Linked DNA regions of Canis lupus familiaris. The protein of the gene in region 4 purifies or fractionates together with the protein of the main gene of each other region. This does not show direct contact. Links are inferred from orthologs where the notes say so. Each region holds a gene or a part of one and is shown on either strand. Other genes may lie near its edges.

Region 1 (4,268 bases), on a different chromosome or scaffold from region 4:
AATCTCAGCTCTACCATCACTTCCTAGCTTTGTGACTTTACACAAGTTCCAGATCTCTCTGAGCCTGTTTCCCATCTATATAATGGTGATAACATTAGGACCTATACCTCACAGTGAGGACTGAATGAGATGACAATTATCAGTGTGCAGCCTACCATCAAGCACACTTATACCACATATCAGCACCAAGGGTACTAGAGTTACACCAGTAGACCTTAAGTGGCCAGCTGCCTGGCTAATCCCTGGAAATGAATACAGTCCAGTCTAGGGGACAGTGAAGATGAAAACAAGGCAGATATTGGGCAATCTCCACATCCCACAAGGACCAAAAGAAATGAAATATTACTTTAGGAGAGAGCAGAGTCAGGTATAATGCAGCACATTGATCATCAGGAAAATAACTCTGGAAGAGGTCAATCACTGGCTCTATAGCTCATCAAGGAAAGAAAGTTCTCCAGTAAAAGGCAGGGGATTGGACTAATACTCTAGGATCTCTTGTATTTCTATGCCTCTGACGTATTGGTTCCAAGTTCCTACAAGTACCAGGCCTCAGCTCAGGATCTCAGCCACACCCTGGTCCTCAGAAGTGCCAGGTACAAAGCAAACTATACTCCAGCAAGCACTTCCTAAAAGGGCTAAAGCAGGTACTGGACTGTGAACAAGCTCAGACAGATCCAATCTGAGCTGGAGAATTCACTACCCAAATACTTAATCCTCTGGCTGGCAATGACACCATTTGAACAAAAACTCTCTTCTAAGGCTTCAAGAAGTCTAGTCCAGATTTTTCATTTCCCTCCACCCCTTCTGAGAATAAAAACTATATCCTTCATTCCATATCCCCAGCAAAAACCCCAGAGACCACAGGCGCCACTAGCCCTCTCCCTCTAAGACAGGCTGATGTCCCACTCTGGGACACTTCGAAAGTCCAAACTGCCAGATTCAAGCAATCGAAGTTTAACTCTCGCTCTAGCATTCTGTCTAGGCTTGCACGTGCCTGCATCACAGCATTTCCTGCCAATCACCATCTGCATAAAATTAAACTCTTGACAGATCCCAAGAGCCAGGGACACACCCACCAACCCAATGTACTATCAGCCAGCGTGGCCACAAATCAGCCAAGGTCTTGCATCCAGCCTCAGAACCTCCCATGGATGTGGGAGGGCAGAGTAAAAGTGAGGCTCTGTCAGGAAATGAGTAGATCCCAGATTCCCTCATCCTAGTCATTCCTCAGGGCTGCACCCACACAGTCTCTCCTTCTGATGAATATTCACTCTCTGAGCTCTTCCTCTGCCACATGGCCAGCTGCCAACTTGAAGCAGCAATCTCAGGCAGATTATGAGCTACCCACCAGCAAGGATAGCGTCAATACCACCTCCTTCTCCTCTCCCTCCTAATTCTACCCCTAGGCACGCTCCAAGTAGAAGCCAGGCACAGGGTAGGTACTCAAGGAATGAAGAGAGATCAGCTGTGTACGAGTTATAGCAGTGGCTAAGTAAGCATTCTCCCAGGCACCCCATTTCAGAAACTCCTACTGGGTAAAAGGGTCTATCACAAGTCACAGGCAATGCCTAGTTGTCATCATGTCTGTCTACTGAGCTCTTGGAGAATGAGGGTGGCCCAATAAGACATCATCTCTGGGATGAGGCCGCCAGCCAACTCACTCCATCCTTGCTACGTGGCCTCCTTGGCTGGGGATGCACAGTGGACATACTTGGCCATCTGAGAATACGAAAAAAAAACCTAGAAGAAAAAAGGATTCAAAGCACGCTCCTGTGAGTATGTTGAAATGAACAGAAGAAGCTGGGCTCTGAGTCCCAGAATCACAATGAGAGGCTGCACCCTGGACACTTCAGGGGCAGTTTAAACATCAGCCAAAGGAAATCGTGGCTCATTGAACAGAGGAGTAAATCATGGAACCTGTTGTTCCATATGTGTTTTTGCAGCAGCAGCTTGCAAAAACATTCTACAAATTCTTAGGTGGACAGCGGATTTTGGCAAAATCTGGGACAGGTGAGAATGCTCTCAGCTACAAAATGATGTCCCCCAACCCTTGCTCTCAGAACCAGCATCTCCTGCAAGAAGGCTAAGGCTCTCAGGCTTCAAAGGGTTTATAGTAAGAAGCACAAGCTTGGGGCACCTGGGTGGTTCAGTGGTTGAGTATCTGCCTTTGACTCAGGTCGTGATCCTGGATGTCCTGGGATGGAGTCCTACATCAGCTCCCTGTGGGGGAGCCTCCTTCTCCTTCTATGTCTCTGCCTCTCTCTGTGTGTTCTCATGAATAAATAAATAAAATCTTGAAGAAGAGGAGGAGGAGGAGGCCGCGGTGGCGACACAAGCTTTAACTGGCACTCTCCAGCAGAAACACCAGTCTCAGTCTTGGGAGGCACACTAATGTGCTACACCATCTTAAAGATGTCACATTAGAATACAAGGCCAGGGGCCCAACTGTCCCGAAGTAGGAAGTGCCCTGATCTGTGCGCCTGCTGAGCAGCACTCACATGCACAGCACAGTACTAGGCACTGCCTAGTACTCACTTGAAACTGTAGCGCATAGGGTCCACCTGGCAGCTACCCCCTTAAATGTCCCTTCCTCAACGCCTTACCTCTACTGGAGTGCCCCGGTCTGCTCCCACTCACACACACCGTTGCTCTGTCCAGGTTACCCTTCTTTAGCCTTCCTCTGACCATTCCACCTCCTCCAGGAAGCCCTCTGGCCTGAAGCATCCTGTCCTCTACCAAAGAGCCACAGCCTGGTACTCCCTCCCAGCACAGCACTCACCACACTGTTCTGGATCTGGACTTTCCCAGTCTTCAATCCGTCCGCCCCGCTGGGCTAGCAACTCCTCGCTGCGCGACACACAGAAGGCGTCGTTATTTGAATTCGTTAACTTGTTACCACAGGTCAGCCCAGCTGCTAAGGAAAAACAACGCACGTTGGAAAGGGACGTCTAGAGGGGCGGAAAAAAGTTTCTCAACCAACAGCCCGTTTCCTGGGCACCAAGGCGCACCCCGCGGGGCCAGGGGCTCCGGCCCTCGGGGGAGCAAGGCGGCCCGCGCTCACGCCCAGCGGCCCCGGGGTCCGGCCGACGGCCCCGCCTCCGCCGCCAACCTCTGGCCGCCCTCGGGGCCCGGCCGCCCGTCGCGTTCCCGGGGAGCCTGCCGAGCCCGGGCGGCCGAGTGCCCCGCCCCGCCCCGCCCGGCCCGGCCCGGCCGCCGAGGGACCGGCAGGAAGGGCGCCGCTGACCTCACCGCCCCGAGCTCGGGGAGGGCCCGCAGGCGGCGGGGCAGGAACCCAGGCGGGAGGAGAACCAGGGCGGCGGGCGGCGGGCTGCGGGCGGCGGGCTCCGGGCTGCGGGCTCCGGGCTGCGGGCTCCGGGCTGCGGCCGCACTGAACGCCCCCGGCCCCCAGCTCCCCGCCGCCCCGCCAGCGTCCGAGCTCAGCCGGGGCCCCGGGCCGCGCGGGCGGGGCGCTCACCTGGACACGCGCGGCTCCCGGCGGCTCCAGAACCTCCCGCGGCGGCCCGGCCCGCTCGGCGCCTCCTCCCCCGCGGCTCCGCCTCCCGCCGCGGCCCGGCCCCGCCCGCTTGAGCCGTCGCCACGTCCCCACCTCCCGCCCCCCCAGCACGCCGGGCGGCCCCTGCCCCGGCTCCGCGCCCTGGCAGCCTCGGCCGGGGTGGTCCCCGCCAGCCGCCCGGTGGGGGGGGGGGGGGGCAAGGGGGGCGGACAGCCGCGCGCGTCGGGGTCGGGGCCGGGGCCGGGGCCGGGGCCGGGAGCAGGCTGCGGGCCGGCGGGAGCCGCTCCCCGCCCTTCATGCCGCCGGCAGCTCGCCGCACGTACTCGGCGCCCGCCTCCCCTCGCCCCGCTCCACCTGCGGGCCTCGGCCCTCCCTGCCTCCCTGCCTCCCTGCCTCCCCGCTGCTGCAGAAGCGCCCGCGCGGTGGGGACTCCCGGCCGGGGCTCCTGCGCATCTTCTGGGGGTCCTGCCGGGCACTGGCTCCTGCAGCCCCTCCCCATCGTCACCACTCCCGAGTTACAGGGCGGGGTGGGGCCCCCCGGGGGGCCGGGGCCCGGGCGTCCGTGCAATCGACAGACCAGTGGAGAAGACCTTGAAAAATACGGGGGACCTGGGGTCCTCCCCACAGGACCAAGCTCCCCCAAGGGTTTCTGTCCGTCCCCAGCTCCAGTGTCAGGCACTCCTCCTGGTGACGTACTTACGGGTGATGGGTTGATGAGAAGCGGACCAACCAAAGGCTGAGGTGGGGGGTAGCA
Region 2 (3,947 bases), on a different chromosome or scaffold from region 4:
AGAGAGCGGCCTTCGGGACCCTGGCCCGTCCTAGGGCCGTCCCAGCAGAACCGTCAGGCTCAAGGCCAGGCCGGAATACTGCTGCTCTCTGGACGGCGGGATACACGCAACGTCACACCACATGCACTCCTGGATTTTTCAGGTAGCACAGCTTTAAAAACAAACAAACAAAAAACAAAAAAACAAACTAAAAAAAAAAAACAAAAATAAAAACAAAACCCACCATCCAGTTCTAATACCACAAGTTGAGACTTAACCTGTTAGCACCAACATTTTTAAATAATTCCACTAAAACGATGCTTAACCTAATACAACCATCTCCTGTCCCCAAAATAGCATTTGCTATTTCAAACGGCTTACCAAAAAAAAATGTATCTGATAACTTTGAGGTAAACGTCTTTATTTTCTTACACAACCAAAAATCGTAAACTGTTTTAGCACGTTACCATTTTAACAGGTCAATAGTTTAGTCCTTATGTGCAGTTTTCACATTGTTTTACTCGGTATTCAAAAAATGTAGTTTAACATATTGTAGACACTCTCAGTATTGCTGCGTTCTTTGTCATCTTACTCCGTGTAGTATAACCACGTTCAGAGTTATTCTTGTGTATATACAGTGAGTAAAAGTGAACAGACCCAATCCTGCCTCCCCCTGCGCCCCCCCCCCCCCCGCTCCCATTAAAAAGGAAAACAAAAGGAAAATAAAAAGACAAGATGAAATCAGGAAGGGAAACCCTAATCACTGGAGCGTGGGGATGCAGACGTTGGCTTTCTGCATCCACCCTCCATGCTACAGGAAAACTCGGAGACCACTGCCGGTTATCTCCCGACACCGCTCAAGAAGCCCCAGTAGACTTCTGAATCTGTTCCTTTAAGATCAGGATGCTCTGCCTCTGCTCGGGGGGCAGCATGGCAATCTGATCTGCAGTCAGCTGAAGAACCTGCATGATCAGAGCTGCCTTTTCCTGATCCTGTGGAGTTACCTGGCTCTGCCCAGGACTGAAACTGCTAGGCTGGCCTCCACCTTGCTTGCCTGCCCCCTGCATGCCCACTGCTTGCATGCCTGCCCCCTGCATGCCTCCTCCTTGCATGCCTGCCCCCTGTATGCCCCCTCCTTGCATGCCTGCCCCCTGCATGCCTCCTCCTTGCATGCCTGCCCCCTGCATGCCCCCTCCTTGCATGCCTGCTCCCTGCATGCCCCCTCCTTGCATGCCTGCCCCCTGCATGCCCCCTCCTTGCATGCCCGCCCCCTGCATGCCAGCTCCAGGATTTCCCACCCCTGAAATGCCCGACACCTGTCTGGGCCCCTGAGGACCACCCGCCCCCATGTTAATGGGCCCGGGCCCCTGGATTCCCCCAGTCATTGGGCCTCTGGAACCGGGGCCGGGGCCGGGGCCCCGCATCTCCATCCCTCTCGCGTCCATGCCTCTGGCTTCCATCGCACAGGTCTCCATCCCTCTTCTCTCCAGCACTCTGGTCTCTAGGACTTCCGTCTCCATCCCTCGAGAATCTCTGCTCCCTCTGCCATCCATGGGGAGCCCCCTCTGATCCATCATGGGCCCCCGGGGCTCTCCCATCAGCAGTCTGGGGTCGGCGAGGGGCCCGCCCCGCAGGTCGTGCGAGTCTCTGGCGTGGCCGGACGCGTGGTGCAGGGGCGGGCCCAGGTAGCCTCGGGGCTCCACCTCCCCGGTGACCGAGAGCAGGGTCCCCCCGCGGGGGTCGTTCGGGGCGTCCCCCAGCAGCCCCCGAGGAGGGAGGCCCCCCGCGGCCATGGGCCCCCGCGGCAGGGGCGCCCTGGGGTCGGCCATCTGCACCTGGCCGCGCTCCAGGGGCCCCACGCCGGGCATCCCCACCTGCGGCTGCATGCCGCCCGCGGCGGGGAGCGCGGCGGGCCCGGGGCCCGGCCCCGCGGCGGGCAGGGGGCCCGGCGCCGGCATGCCGGCCTGGATCGGGGTCTGCATCAGCGGGGGGATGTCCTTCACGGGCCTCCGCGCCAGGTGCGGCGGCTGCGGGGCGGCGGGGCTCTGCTGGGCCAGCAGGACGGCCGGGGCGGCGGGGCCGGGGCCGGGGCCGGGGCCGGGGCCGAGACCGGGGCCGGGGCCGGGGCCGGGGCCGGGCTGCGCCTTGCCGGGCAGCAGCGGCGTCACGTGGACCTTGCGGTGCAGGATCCTGAGCGCCAGGTCGGGGTCCATGATGCGCATGACCACCTGCGCCTGCAGCAGCGCGTAGGCCAGCTGCGGGTTCTGCAGCAGCATGCTGCGCGCTTCCTGGTGGCTGTTCTGCACGCACAGCTTCATCTGCTTCATGAGCTCGAACATCTGCTCGGGCGGCAGGCTGGCCACGGCGCGCGTGATGGACTCGGGCGCGTCCTCGGGGTCGATGGGGTCGCCGTAGGGCGAGTCCACGACGGGCGCGGCGGGGCCCAGGCTCTTGAGCTCCTCCTTGTTCTTCTCGCTCGCGGCGTTGTCCACGCGCAGCGCGCGGCCGCTGAACTCGCGCCCGTTGAGGTTGCGCATCGCGCTCAGCGCCGTCTCCTGGTCCTGGTACTCGCAGAAGCCGTAGCCCTTGGGCTTGCCCGTCTCGCGGTCGTACACCAGCCGGAAGCTCACCACCGAGCCCACCTCCGAGAAGATGTCCTTCAGCTGCTCCTCCGTCGCCTCGTACGGGATGTTCCCCACGAACACGGAGCGCAGCGACCGGTCCATGGCCGGGTCCCGCACCGCCAGGCTCGACATGGCTCCCGGCGGCCCGGCGCGGCGCGGCGCGGCGGTGGCCGGCGCTCGTCCTCCTCCTCGGCGGCCTCGCTTCCGCCGAGCAGCGGAAGCCGACGGCCGGCGTCCGCCCGGAAACCGCCGAGGCGCGGCCCGATCGTTCCGCCCGCCCCCGCGAGTGCGTCCGCCGGTGCGCTCCGACGCGCGCCTTTCGCGAGGAGGCTTCCCACCGCGAGCCGCCGCGGCCGCCCGGAACGGCCCCCGGGGGGGCTGACCGCAGTAAAGATGGCCGCAGCGGCTTCGCCGTGGGCGCCGGGAGCGGACGTCGCCGCGACGTCACGGCGCTCTGGAGGCCGTTTGCCCCGCGGGAGACCGCCCACCGACCGGGGCTTCCCCGCTCCCTCCCCGGGCGTGCGCTCGGTTTGCTGCGGGGCGGACCCCGGCCGCGCCCGCCTCTGGTCGGCCCAGGTCGCGGGCACCCAGTGTGGGCGTCCCACGGGGCCGGGCTTTGCTCCCGCACGCGCGGCGGCTCGCTCTGCAGGACGGGGCTCCCCGACCCGACGGGGCTCCCCGACCCGGGGCTCCCAGAGCTGACGCTGCTCCCCGACCCGGTGCTCCCCGACCTGACGCTGCTCCCCGACCCGGGGTTCCCTGGGCTGACGCTGCTCCCCGACCCTGGCTCCCCAACCTGACGCTGCTCCCCGACCTGACGCTGCTCCCTGACCCGGGGTTCCCTGGGCTGATGCTGCTCCCCGACTTGGTGCTCCCCGAGCTGACGCTGCTCCCCGACCCGACGGGGCTCCCAGACCCGGGGCTCCCAGAGCTGACGCTGCTCCCCGACCCGGGCTCCCCGACCTGACGCTGCTCCCCGACCCCGGGCTCCCCGACCTGACGCTGCTCCCCCGACCCGGTGCTCCCCGACCTGACGCTGCTCCCCGACCCGGGGCTCCCCGACCTGACGCTGCTCCCCCGACCAGGGCTCCCTGGGCTGACGCTGCTCCCCGACCTGACGCTGCTCCCCCGACCCGGGCTCCCCGACCTGACGTTGCTCCCAGACCTGGGGCTCCCAGACCTGACGGTGCCTCCCAACTCGATGGCTCCCCGACCTGATGCTGCTCCCTGACCCGGGGTTCCCTGGGCCGACGGTGCTCCCCAGCTCCGTGCTCCCCTAGCTGGTGATGCTTTCTCACTCGGTGCTCCCTGAGCTGACGCTGCTCCCCGACCCCGGGCTCCCCG
Region 3 (4,075 bases), on a different chromosome or scaffold from region 4:
TGTCTGCGTGCCCTTACACCTTTTATTCATTCAGCTAACTTTACTCACCTCTCAAGACTCAGTCCAGGCTGCTTCTTTACCAGAAAGCCTGGGCTGGACCTCTCCAGGTTGGGCTAAGGGCCCATGCTCCGCAGCCTGAGCATACACCTTGATCTCAGCATCCGCCTACTTAGAACCACCTCCCCCCCAGCTCCTCAAAGACAGGGCTAGGTCCTGCATCTCGGTGCACCCAATGCCTGGCACGGGCTGGCGGAGGGCATGCTTAATGAACCAAAGAACCTTCTGGGAAGATGACATCCAAGAACCCTCCTGTCCTGAACACCTGCCGTGCGCCGTCCAGTGCCGGGTGCTGTGTGTGCCTGCAACCCGCGCTAGAGACCAGCAAGGCTGCAGTATTACAGCCCCTTTCAAAGGAAGAAGCCACAACTCGAGGGGACTCGGCTGAGGCCGCGGGGCTAATCGCGGGTGGGGCCGAGGTCGGAACCCGAGACAGCCGGGCCCACGCTCTCCCCAGACCGCACCGGGCCTCCCGCGCCTGTCGCGCGGCTGAGCGGCGCCTGCCAGGTGCAGGTGCAGGTGCGCACGGCGACAGCGGACCCGACACCGGCGCCCCCCGCCCGGCGCGGTGGGGGAGGGGCGGCAGGGGGACACCCCCGCGGGGGCCGGCGCGGAGGGGCGGTGCTCCTCTCCGCCCCAGAAAGCAGAGCCCGACTCGCGAAGCCGCCCCGCGGCAGACGGGACCGATGCACCCCGACACCTGTCGTCACGGGCGCTGCAGTCCCAGCCCGAGCTGGGGTCGGGCACCGGGGCGGGGACGGGGGCACCGCATCCTCCCACAGGCCCCGGCCCGCTCCTCGGCCCCGCCGCCCGCCCCGCGCCGCCTCCGGGCCCGGGTCCCCGACCCCGGGAGGACGGGACCCCGCGGCCCCCGCCGCCCCACCCATCCGCCCCACCGCGGGCCTTCCCGCCAACGCCGCCCCAGCTCCCGCGTTCCCGGCCAGGCTCAGCCCGGGTTCGGCCACGGCTCGGCTCTCACCTCGCAGCCGCCGGCCCGCCCCTGGGGCCGCCTGCGACCCAGGTCAGACCCCCACCGACCCGGGAACCGACGCCGGGGCAGCCACTCCAGTTCTAATCCAGCGCCAGCTTTTCCGGCGCCCCCGGCCCCGCCCGCCGAGCCCCGCCTCCGAGACACCGCGCAGGCGCACACGTGACCCCGCCCCGGTTTCCGGACTCCGCTGGGGGAGGAGCCTCGCGACCCGGGTTCCGCGGCCGGAAGTCGAGGGGCGGAGCCTGGTGTCGCGGGCGCCGGAGTGCCGGAAGTTGTGCTCTTGGTGGATGGGGTTTTCTACCTCAGGTTCCCCGTGGCTCTGCTTTCTGTTTACGCAGACTCGCGCCGCCTGCTCCTCACCCCCGCTTCGCCGTCAGATTTCGGAGATGTCTGCGATTCCCGCCGAGGAAAGTGACCAGCTGCTGATCCGACCCCTGTAAGGGCCCAGCGCGAGAGGGAGTGAAGCTGGGAGCAGTGAGAGGCAGGCGCGGCGGCCGGAGGGTCGGCCTCGCCCCCCTCCTCGCGGTCGCCCCCCCGTCGCGGTCGCCCCCCCGGTCGTCCCCTCGCCCGCAGGCCTCAGGAGCCGCCCCTTGCTCCGCCGCTGCGGGCCGGGCCTCTCAGGCTGAAGGGGTTCGGAGAAACGTGGGTCGGAACGGGTCTGCTGGGTTGAGCGGGACGTGGCTTTTCTTCGATCTCAGGGCAGAGGATGTTGGGGTTGGCGGCGGGAAAGAATGGCTTTGGGCCTCTGGGCGCTTTCCTCGGTGCTAGAGTGGAAGCGCTGGGGGAAGCGGTGCTGCTGGCGGCGGCGGGATGACAGGAGGACCCGGATTAGGCTGTGGCGGCGCGAAGCAGAACTAAAGCTGTTTATTGTTTCCTCCAGGACTTGACATTTGCCAAGACGGGAAAGAGGAAATCCATTAGCTGTATGAGTTTTGAGGTCCAGACTTCAGACCCTAGCAGAATAAGGAAGGTAGACGGAGAGGAGAAAGAGCGGAGATGTTGACAGAAATTCAGCCCGCGTTTGTCCGTGGGAGGGCTCGTCTTTCAGTGGAGGTGGCGGTCTGCCGGAGAAACACTCTCTCCAGATCCGGAAAGCAGACCTGTGGAGAAAATTCTTTTTCCAGAAAGAAAGCCTGTCGTCACTCCCATCCCCCCCCCCTTTTCCTGTAGGCGAGCAATTTGAATTCACAAACACATGTAGATAGGAGTCAACGTCACCTTAACCTGTGCTTTTTTTTTTTTTTCCTCAAAAGGTGGGCAGTATCTACACATCCATCAGTAGGGCCTAGTTGAGCACCTGCTGGGGACATAACACAAGTTTCCACCACTCATCTCGCGCTCACCCTCTCTTCCTGTGGGCAGCAAACACTGAGCAAGTGTCAAGCGTGGCACTGGGCACTGGAGATGCACCTAAGAGAGCGCCGAGTTAACTGAATTCACCCTTTTGGAAGGAATTGCAGATCAAAGTGAGAAGTTCCGGAGAGATAGTTTAGAATAATAGGAGACCCTTACTTGGGGGTCAGACGTGGAATTCAGTCCCTGCTCTGTCACTTCCTGGCAGCAACTTCACTGAACCCATTTCTTCATGTGAAAATAATATAGCCACACTTACTTTGAAGATCATAGAAGGTGCTCAGTAAATGGAATGTTAGAAGAAAACAGAGAGGCACACACTCTAGCAAATTAAGAAGAGAAAGCTAACAGCTGCATCCTGGGAAATAGAATGGGTGAGCTGAGCCCTAAAGGATAAATAGGAACTAAAAATAGTGTAGGGCAAGGGTGTTCCAGGCAGCAGTAGTGGCACATGTGAAGAGAGTGGTCGTAGTTGTGGCCAGTTTCCTCATGGCTGTGACTGAAAGATGAGCAGATGAGGTGGGAAAGGGACCCAGGGACCGGCTTGTATACCTACTAAGGAGTTTGGGCACTTTTCACGCCGGTTCTAGAGAGCCAATGAACGGTTTAAGCATCCATGAGATACAGTGGGAGCTGTGTTTAGGAAGATCACTCCTATCAGCAGGGTAAGCAGATGAATAAGAGTGGATTCAGTGGAGAGAATCCAGGAGGATGGAATTGAAATAATCCCAGTAAAAAGCAGTGAGAGCTTGGAATGAATGAAATGAAAGTTGAGTTGGAAAGAAGTAGGTTTCAGAGAGTAAGGAATTGAAATCTTTACAGTTTCGTAGCTCATCAGATGTACTGGAAGGGGCAGCTGTGGAGAGGAGTGTAAGGATGTCTTGGATTTCTAGATGGAGCAACTGGTAAACGATCATGGAATTCACTCGAGTTAGGGAGCTGGGGCAGATTTGGAATAAATTTGGGAATTCTCTTGTTTTATAACAGCTTTATTGAAATATAATTCACATACCATACAACCCATTGAAAGTGTACAATTCAGTGGTTTCTAGTATATTCACAGAGTTGTACAACCATCACTACTGTTTAATTCCACAACATTTTTGTCCTTCCAGAAAGAAAGCCTGTCACTCCCATTTCCCCCAACATCCCCAGTCCCTGGCCACTACTAATTTTCCTTCTCTACAGATTTGCCTATTCTGGACATTTCACTTAAATAAGGTCATATAATATGCAACCTTTTATGACCAATTTCAGTTTCTTTTACTTAGCATAATGTTTCCAAGGTTAAAATTTAGAGGAGTTTTTAGGCACTTGGGAAGTATTTGTTGAGATTGAGTGCATCTCAGGTACTGCAGCTAAATAATGAACAAAATAGACAATGCCTGTGCTCATATGGAGCCTTCATTTTCATGGTGAGAAACTATAAATAGGTAGAGTAACTTCATGTAGTTATGTTACGATAAAGTTGGTGAAGGGCAAATGAAAAGAGGGGTCAGAAGGAGGCCTTCGCAGGTGGCATTTGGACTGAAACCCAAAGGATACAAAGAAGCCAACCATGTCAGTATCTGAGGGATAATCCAGGAGAAAAGCAAGTACAAGGGGTTTGAGGTGAAAATGAGTTTGGCGCATTTGAATTTAAGGTGTCTGTGTGCTAGCCCAGGAGAGACACCT
Region 4 (3,005 bases):
TAGTATATGACATTAAATTCATTTCAATTATCGCTACTTAAAGGATCCTAGTAATTCATTCTTTCAAAACCATGTTGTTACCACCACTGACAAATACATCCTAAGGCTTATCCCTAAAAACGCTCACAGAATTATAAACGTGTATTCTTAGATTTAATAGGAAAGGACTAATCTAAAGCTCTTGTCTTTTCTTTCACAACTAGCTAGTAACTGTATAAAACCTCCACATACTGCTCAACCAATGAGCTTTGGAAAAAGCATCAAGAAAGGCCAAACCAGCTTGACCCCAGCTCATAAACAGCCATGAGACAATTCAAGTTTGTGTCACAGTGACGCGTGTTTGTCCACGTGCCTGCTATAAAAACTACCCTTAGGGCAAGTTATTTTGCAGACACCAGCCAAATGCCTTTAGATTTTACTAATTTGGATATAAAAGTTCCCTCTTTAGTTATACCATGAACCCAAATTAAGAACACTGAAAACCTATCAAAAAGTTGTGATATCAAAACTGTATACGAGTACTTTAATACAATAAGCAAGAGTGCCACAGCAGTATTGATAAAGACTACTTTTAATCTCAAGACCCAGAGGTGCCCTTTTGCAGTGCAACCTCTTGAGACTGGTATTTGATTAACTCAAGAAAACTATGGCCAAGGTGAAACCTTAACCTTTATCAGATACTGTGTGTGTACATAGCTCTTTAAAATTCCCTGCTGAGTGACTCATTCACATTACTTTCTTGGATATAAGTCATTGCTGTCTTTATTTTTTTAAATATTACAAGACAAAGATTTTTAACTTAACATGAAAAATTTACTCTTTTATTTTGAGAAAAAAGTTAACTTTTCATACTAACAGAACAAGATTAAAAGTAAATTTCTTAAACATTATCCAGAAAAATAACAAGATTTATGGTACATTTCTGGCCCTAATATACACAACAGGCCATAGCCATGCCTACTCAGCAGGTGCAGCTTCAGTGCTCTCCTGTTCAGGGGCAGGCTCACTGCCTGCTTCTTTTCCTTCTTTGCTTCTCTTAGATTTTTTGTGCTTGTGTCTCCTGTGACTGTCTCCTTCTTCACTTTCATGGCGACGTCTACTGTTACTGAAAAGGAAAAAAAGTTGTGTTAAGTACACACGAGATAAGAAATATCAACCTACTATGTCTAAGTTGAATTCCCAATATAACACTGGGTTTTAAATGAATTCTTTTTCTCAAACACACTTTGAGGAGTAACCAGTTATGTGACTTTTATATGGAGATTGTATGTACAGTATAGGTTCACCTGCACCTGATATTATCCTACATTCTCAGAGCCCATATACTTTATCCTGAAAAACTATTACAAATTAGAAACTGAAGCACTAAATCGGAACAGGAAATACTTTCTAGAACTGATCCTAAACCAACAAACAACAGGCATACAATTTTAGACTATGAGGCCCTGATTTTTCTTTAAATATTAGTATTACTGGTTCATAGGCTAAATAAACCCCTCTCCCAACAAGACAGTAATAAGTCCATGAGTACTAAATGAGGTCTTTTTAGATTTAAAAATCTTTGATGAGCCTATAAGCAACCAACTACTTCAACACATTACTCTTAATCTTCCAATTAGGAACACATATGCTCTACTAGTTATTTGGAGAGGTTTTTAACTTTTTGCAGTCAAATCAATTTCTCTGAGCTTCAAAGTGATTCACTATAAAAGAACAAACCTTCGAGAGGACTTGTGTCTGGTTTCCTCCTTCTCTCTGTGTCGTCTTTCTCTGTGTCGTTCTTCTTTCTCTCGACTTGCTCTGTGGCGCTCATAGCCTCTTTCTGCATACTCCCTGTATCTGTATCGCTCTTCATCACTGAAATTGGAATAAAAACTTTTCATGACAACTGGACTGTTTAATTCTGAATAACTTCAAACTACAAGGGATGTGATCTGAGTCCAAACCAGAAGACCTCACACTGTTATTAGCATCTTATACAGAATAGGTGCAAAATATTTATTGACTTGAGAAGAAAACAATGCCATTCCCAACTAGCACTACATCTAATATAAAACATGTAATAATTACACGTTAGAAGTCCAATTTTATTTTGTGCTTTCAGTTGTTACGGAGTAGAAATTATATATACCAGTTTTTTTTTTTCCTTCCAAGAACTGGGAGCTATAACAGATTTAAATTTTAATCAGCCTCATCTTCTTTTATTCCTTTTAAAATTAAAAGCATGTTTGTATATCTTCGATTTCTAACCAAAATTCTTTTAGAATCTTTGTGTGCTTAAGATTTTATAAATAATAAAAATATTCAATTCACAATGGCTAGAGAGTGTAAAGTAGATGAAGGTGCTTAAGTTTTTCAATCACATGAAGAGTACATGCTTCTAAGGAATAGATACAGACATAAAGACAGGGACAGCAGAGCAACTTCTACAATATCCACACAAAATGCAGGCAAAACACTACCCGTGGACAAACTTACAGTCTGACATACTATAGGAGAATGTGTGTGTGGCTAGGGATGGGGGGATTCACATGGCTGACAGCAACAAGTGCATATACCTAGGCTGCACTTCCATTTCCTGATTTTGGATAGAATGAACTGCCGAAACAGGGACTGATGGCTAGAATTAGACGGTAGTCTTTTTTTTTCTTTAAACCTCCCTAGATCTATCCTCTCTTCATGTCTCTTCACTTATATTCTTCTCTCCATCTTTCTCTTAATTCTTCAAGCCTTTTTTTTTTTTGGAGGGGGGGGGTGTTTCAGCACAGAAGTCAACAATTTCCATAACCTGCTATCAGAAACTCAGAAATAAATATTTATCAGAAATAAAGAGCTTCGGTTTCTGGAAAGATCTAATATAAGTCAGTAATCTGCATGACGCATCATGATGTTAAGACATTTGAGTAAGACAGGATACAATATCAGGTGAAGCCATATAAAAGAGAAAGCTTAATTATCATCTCCTACCAAAAGCAGTGATTCAGTAGTGCTATACCTAACAACGC
Region 5 (3,714 bases), on a different chromosome or scaffold from region 4:
CAGAAAAGATGCTCAACATCATTAGTCATTAAGAAAATGCAAATCAAAACCATGAAATACCTCTTCACACACACTAGGACGATTAAAATAAAAAATAGGGTAGGAAACAAGTGTTGCCAAGGATGTGCAGAAATTGGAATCCTCACATCCTGCTAGTGGGAATGTAATATAGCATTGGCACTTTGGAAATAAGGTTTGGAAAACTGACAGTTTCTCAAAAGAGTTATTGTATTATCCAGCAATTCTCCTCTTAGGAATATGTTCCCCCAAAACTGAAAACCTACATTCACACAAAAAACTTGTATAGGAATGTTCATGGCAGCATCATTTATACTAGACAAAAATTGAAAAAACCCAAATGTCTATCAACTGATGAGTGGATAAACAAAATGTGGTATATACACACACTGGAATATTATTCAACCACATAAAGAGTGCTGACACATGCTACAGTATCAATGGATCTTGAAAATATCATACTAAGTGAAAGAAGTCAGACACAAAAGGCCACATATTGTATGATTTCATTTTTATGAAATATTCAGAATAGGCAAATCCATATAGACAGAAAATAGATTGATGGTTGCTTGGGACTGGGGTGAAGGGAATGGAAAATAACTGCTAATTGGCAGAGTGTCTTTTTGGGGGGATGAAAATATTCTGGAATGAGAGTGGTAATGGTTGCACTACTTTAAATATACTAAAAGCTAATGAATTATATACTTTAAAAGAGTGAATTTTATGGTATATGAATTTCAAATTTTTTTTAAAAAGGCCCTCTTAGAAAATTGATTTCCTCACTTCTATTTCAGACCACCTACTGGTTCATAAAAACAATAATTTTCAACAATACTTGACATTTATAATTCATTGTAACAAATACTACAATAAATTTTTTTGACCAAATTATTTATAATCAGCTGATGGTCCACTTGTATTTATTTTGCCTCTAAACAAAATCTGAAAGTTCCTCTGAGTTCATGATTTATTTTATAGCCTTTTTTAAATGTATATTTTTAAGTAACTAAGGCTAAAGAAATGTCTTCATTTTAGAAATTTTAGTAATCCTGCCATCAATAAACAGGACAAAGTATTGCTCTTGCAATGACATTAGTTAGCACAGCCATCTTCAAGCAGCACTTTAAAATTTAATTCCTGTTCATAGGACAATAAAAAGGCTAAGTGAGAAATAATTTTTCAATATCAGTATCGCAATGTAATCTGTATAACCAGATGCTTCAAGCCATATAACAAATGCAGACTTTCTTTCCCCTGGAATATAAATAGGATTCCAGGCTTACTCTTTTCAGTAACAGGATTTTAAGTTGAATTTTTTCAAAGCTCTACAAAGAAAACATACTCTTTATCGTCACCTTCTGTAATGGTGTTCTGCATATCTGATTTTTGCTATCAGAAGACTGAAACTTTGCATTAGCACTATAATCCACAACAAATTCTTTATAAACTTTGAAAGAGAATAAAATATTAATTCTAGTCTGATATCACTGGGTAGTACTATACTATGTATAGTTCCATATAAGTTAAACAGGAATGATCCTTCTAAAAATGCTAAGCATTAAAAAGAGGGCTTAATTACTTGAGAAATAAAGATCAAGGACTGCCATGATCAAGCTACACACTAGACAAGCATCCAAGATTATAATAGGGCAACATGATTCTCATTTTTAAGTTCAATGAAAATTGCATATATTCAGTTTTTACTCTTAAACACAAGTGGTTTATACTGTATTTGGGCCGCTAGCCCCAAGAAAGACAGGAACACAGAAAGGATGACCTTATACAACTTCAGTATTATTTTTGTAGTAAGGTGTATAAAATCCAACCATTGCTTCTGCAACCTTAGGAGGGAGCAAGCCTAAGAGATGAAAACATTTACACCTTTTGATTCAATTATACTATCACCTTATAAAAATATAAGGTTCAACATTTGTTTCCTTAAAAACAAAGCACTAAACAGTTCTCAATGAAGTAACCTAGCGATAGCTAAGATGTATCTAACATGTATACAGAATCCTTAAGACTAAAATAGCAGGAGTTCTTTTGCACTACATATATTCAAATGATGTTAGTTGTTGTAATTCAACCTGAACAACAAAATCTTGGTAAAGTAATAGGAGAAATAAAAATTGATTTCTGAACGAAATATGTACCACCTTCCACTAGATTGAATAACTGGGAAATACAGGTAGGGTAAGGAGATATGTGTGAAGACAACTGCATATCAGAATTCAAAAGAAGAGTTAGAGCACATACTCTTTGTTTTTTCTTTTTTAAACACACGGGCCTCAAAAAACTGTATCTTCAGTTTTTTTTTTTTTTTTTTTTTTTTTTTACATAGCACATCTTTTCTCAATAATTCTCACTTTTCATTCCAGAAAATTTAAGAAACTGTTTGCAAGAATTCACAACATGCAAACATGTTTCTCTAAGGCCATGAGCTGGTTTGCTAAGTTGCATTGTTTTATTCAAGTAAAAAGCCCTTCTAGAACAAGGGGTCTGTAGAGAAAACCAATCACCTTCGATTCTTGGGCCTGCACACTTGTTAGGATCTCTATCACTCTGAAAGCTAAAATGTGGAGTGCTCATTTGAGCATTAGCAAAATGGACTCTATTTACATTTTTTAAAAAATCGAATGCATGTTAAATTTTTCTGGCAATTCTTTCTGTATGTTACAAGACAAAAAAGCAAAAGCTTAGAATAAGAACGCTTTTTTCTTAGAAAGGTCAAACAGATACTTCCTGACATCATGTCCTTTACACAATGGCATACTGTTCATATAAAAGGTCTCTTATCCTATAAAAATCTTGACAAAGGCAGCCTTCTAATCCAATGCGTCCAGTTTCCGTCTAGAAAGTAAAAAACAAAAACAAAAACAAAAAACAAACTTTAGTATATTTGCTATTAATATGCAGACATAATAAACAAGATATATTAACTCGACTATTTGATGATTGGTCTGGAAATGGGTTGCTCAGCACAAAATAAGGATATTACATTCAAGTCATGAATTTTACATAGATATGTAAATGTCAAGATTCAAGTAATAAAAATTTACAGTAAAATTATACATTATTTCTTTAAGAGTCACTTTTATAAGCCTTTAAGGTCATCATTATGAATATAAATTACGGTCTCCAGTTTGTGAAATTACTGATCAAGAATCACAGAAGTCAAAATGGCAACACATCAGAAGGAAATATTTGTTCACTTTGCCCCTTATTAAAAACACATTTACGGGCAGCCCACGTGGCTCAGAGGTTTAGCACCGCCTTCAGCCCAGGGCGTGATCCCAGAGACCCAGGATCGAATCCCACGTCAGGCTCCCTGCATGGAGCCTGCTTCTCCCTCTGCCTGTTCTCTGCCTCTCTCTCTCTGTGTCTCTCAGGAATAAATAAATAAAATCCTAAAGACAAAACAAAACAAAGAAAAAAACCACACTTACTCTACGGACCGCTACTTGATTGTTGCAAACAAGCACACCTCCTACAAATTCAGCTTGAATCCCCTCCCGTAAAAGAACTTGTTTGAAGTCTGACAGTCTTGGTTCGTTCATAAAAACTGACTGATGTCCAGGAACCTTAAACAAGGATAAAGGGGAAAGAAGAACTTCAAATAAGACACCACACATACAGTTGTACTGAATAAAGTGCAGTAACACATCTCTAAGATATTTTCTATCATTCCCTGAAGAC

Evidence for each region.
Region 1: the proteins of FIP1L1 (region 4) and P4HA2 purify together in Homo sapiens (co-immunoprecipitation; 3 studies listed by BioGRID and IntAct, with this or other methods). This does not show direct contact. The link is inferred for Canis lupus familiaris from reciprocal best matches to the Homo sapiens genes FIP1L1 and P4HA2.
Region 2: the proteins of FIP1L1 (region 4) and CSTF2T purify together in Homo sapiens (co-immunoprecipitation; 3 studies listed by BioGRID and IntAct, with this or other methods). This does not show direct contact. The link is inferred for Canis lupus familiaris from reciprocal best matches to the Homo sapiens genes FIP1L1 and CSTF2T.
Region 3: the proteins of FIP1L1 (region 4) and CPSF3 purify together in Homo sapiens (affinity purification with mass spectrometry; 5 studies listed by BioGRID and IntAct, with this or other methods). This does not show direct contact. The link is inferred for Canis lupus familiaris from reciprocal best matches to the Homo sapiens genes FIP1L1 and CPSF3.
Region 5: the proteins of FIP1L1 (region 4) and CPSF2 purify together in Homo sapiens (affinity purification with mass spectrometry; 7 studies listed by BioGRID and IntAct, with this or other methods). This does not show direct contact. The link is inferred for Canis lupus familiaris from reciprocal best matches to the Homo sapiens genes FIP1L1 and CPSF2.

The regions. Positions count from the first base shown.
Region 1 is NC_049232.1:20,539,138-20,543,405, forward strand, and holds the start of P4HA2 (prolyl 4-hydroxylase subunit alpha-2), read right to left. Parts: upstream 2,801-4,268; 5' UTR 2,780-2,800; intron 1-2,779. UniProt on the Homo sapiens protein: Catalyzes the post-translational formation of 4-hydroxyproline in -Xaa-Pro-Gly- sequences in collagens and other proteins.
Region 2 is NC_049247.1:36,527,390-36,531,336, reverse strand, and holds CSTF2T (cleavage stimulation factor subunit 2 tau variant), read right to left. Parts: upstream 2,807-3,947; 5' UTR 2,736-2,806; coding exon 837-2,735; 3' UTR 380-836; downstream 1-379. UniProt on the Homo sapiens protein: May play a significant role in AAUAAA-independent mRNA polyadenylation in germ cells. Directly involved in the binding to pre-mRNAs.
Region 3 is NC_049238.1:6,543,245-6,547,319, forward strand, and holds the start of CPSF3 (cleavage and polyadenylation specificity factor subunit 3), read left to right. Parts: upstream 1-1,273; 5' UTR 1,274-1,335; coding exon 1,336-1,484; intron 1,485-4,075. Other genes in the region: proline-rich protein 2-like, read left to right, coding at 291-1,211. UniProt on the Homo sapiens protein: Component of the cleavage and polyadenylation specificity factor (CPSF) complex that plays a key role in pre-mRNA 3'-end formation, recognizing the AAUAAA signal sequence and interacting with poly(A) polymerase and other factors to bring about cleavage and poly(A) addition.
Region 4 is NC_049234.1:46,769,303-46,772,307, reverse strand, and holds the end of FIP1L1 (pre-mRNA 3'-end-processing factor FIP1), read right to left. Parts: intron 1,858-3,005; coding exon 1,720-1,857; intron 1,106-1,719; coding exon 958-1,105; 3' UTR 509-957; downstream 1-508.
Region 5 is NC_049229.1:1,459,457-1,463,170, reverse strand, and holds the end of CPSF2 (cleavage and polyadenylation specificity factor subunit 2), read right to left. Parts: intron 3,600-3,714; coding exon 3,465-3,599; intron 2,869-3,464; coding exon 2,776-2,868; 3' UTR 513-2,775; downstream 1-512. UniProt on the Homo sapiens protein: Component of the cleavage and polyadenylation specificity factor (CPSF) complex that play a key role in pre-mRNA 3'-end formation, recognizing the AAUAAA signal sequence and interacting with poly(A) polymerase and other factors to bring about cleavage and poly(A) addition.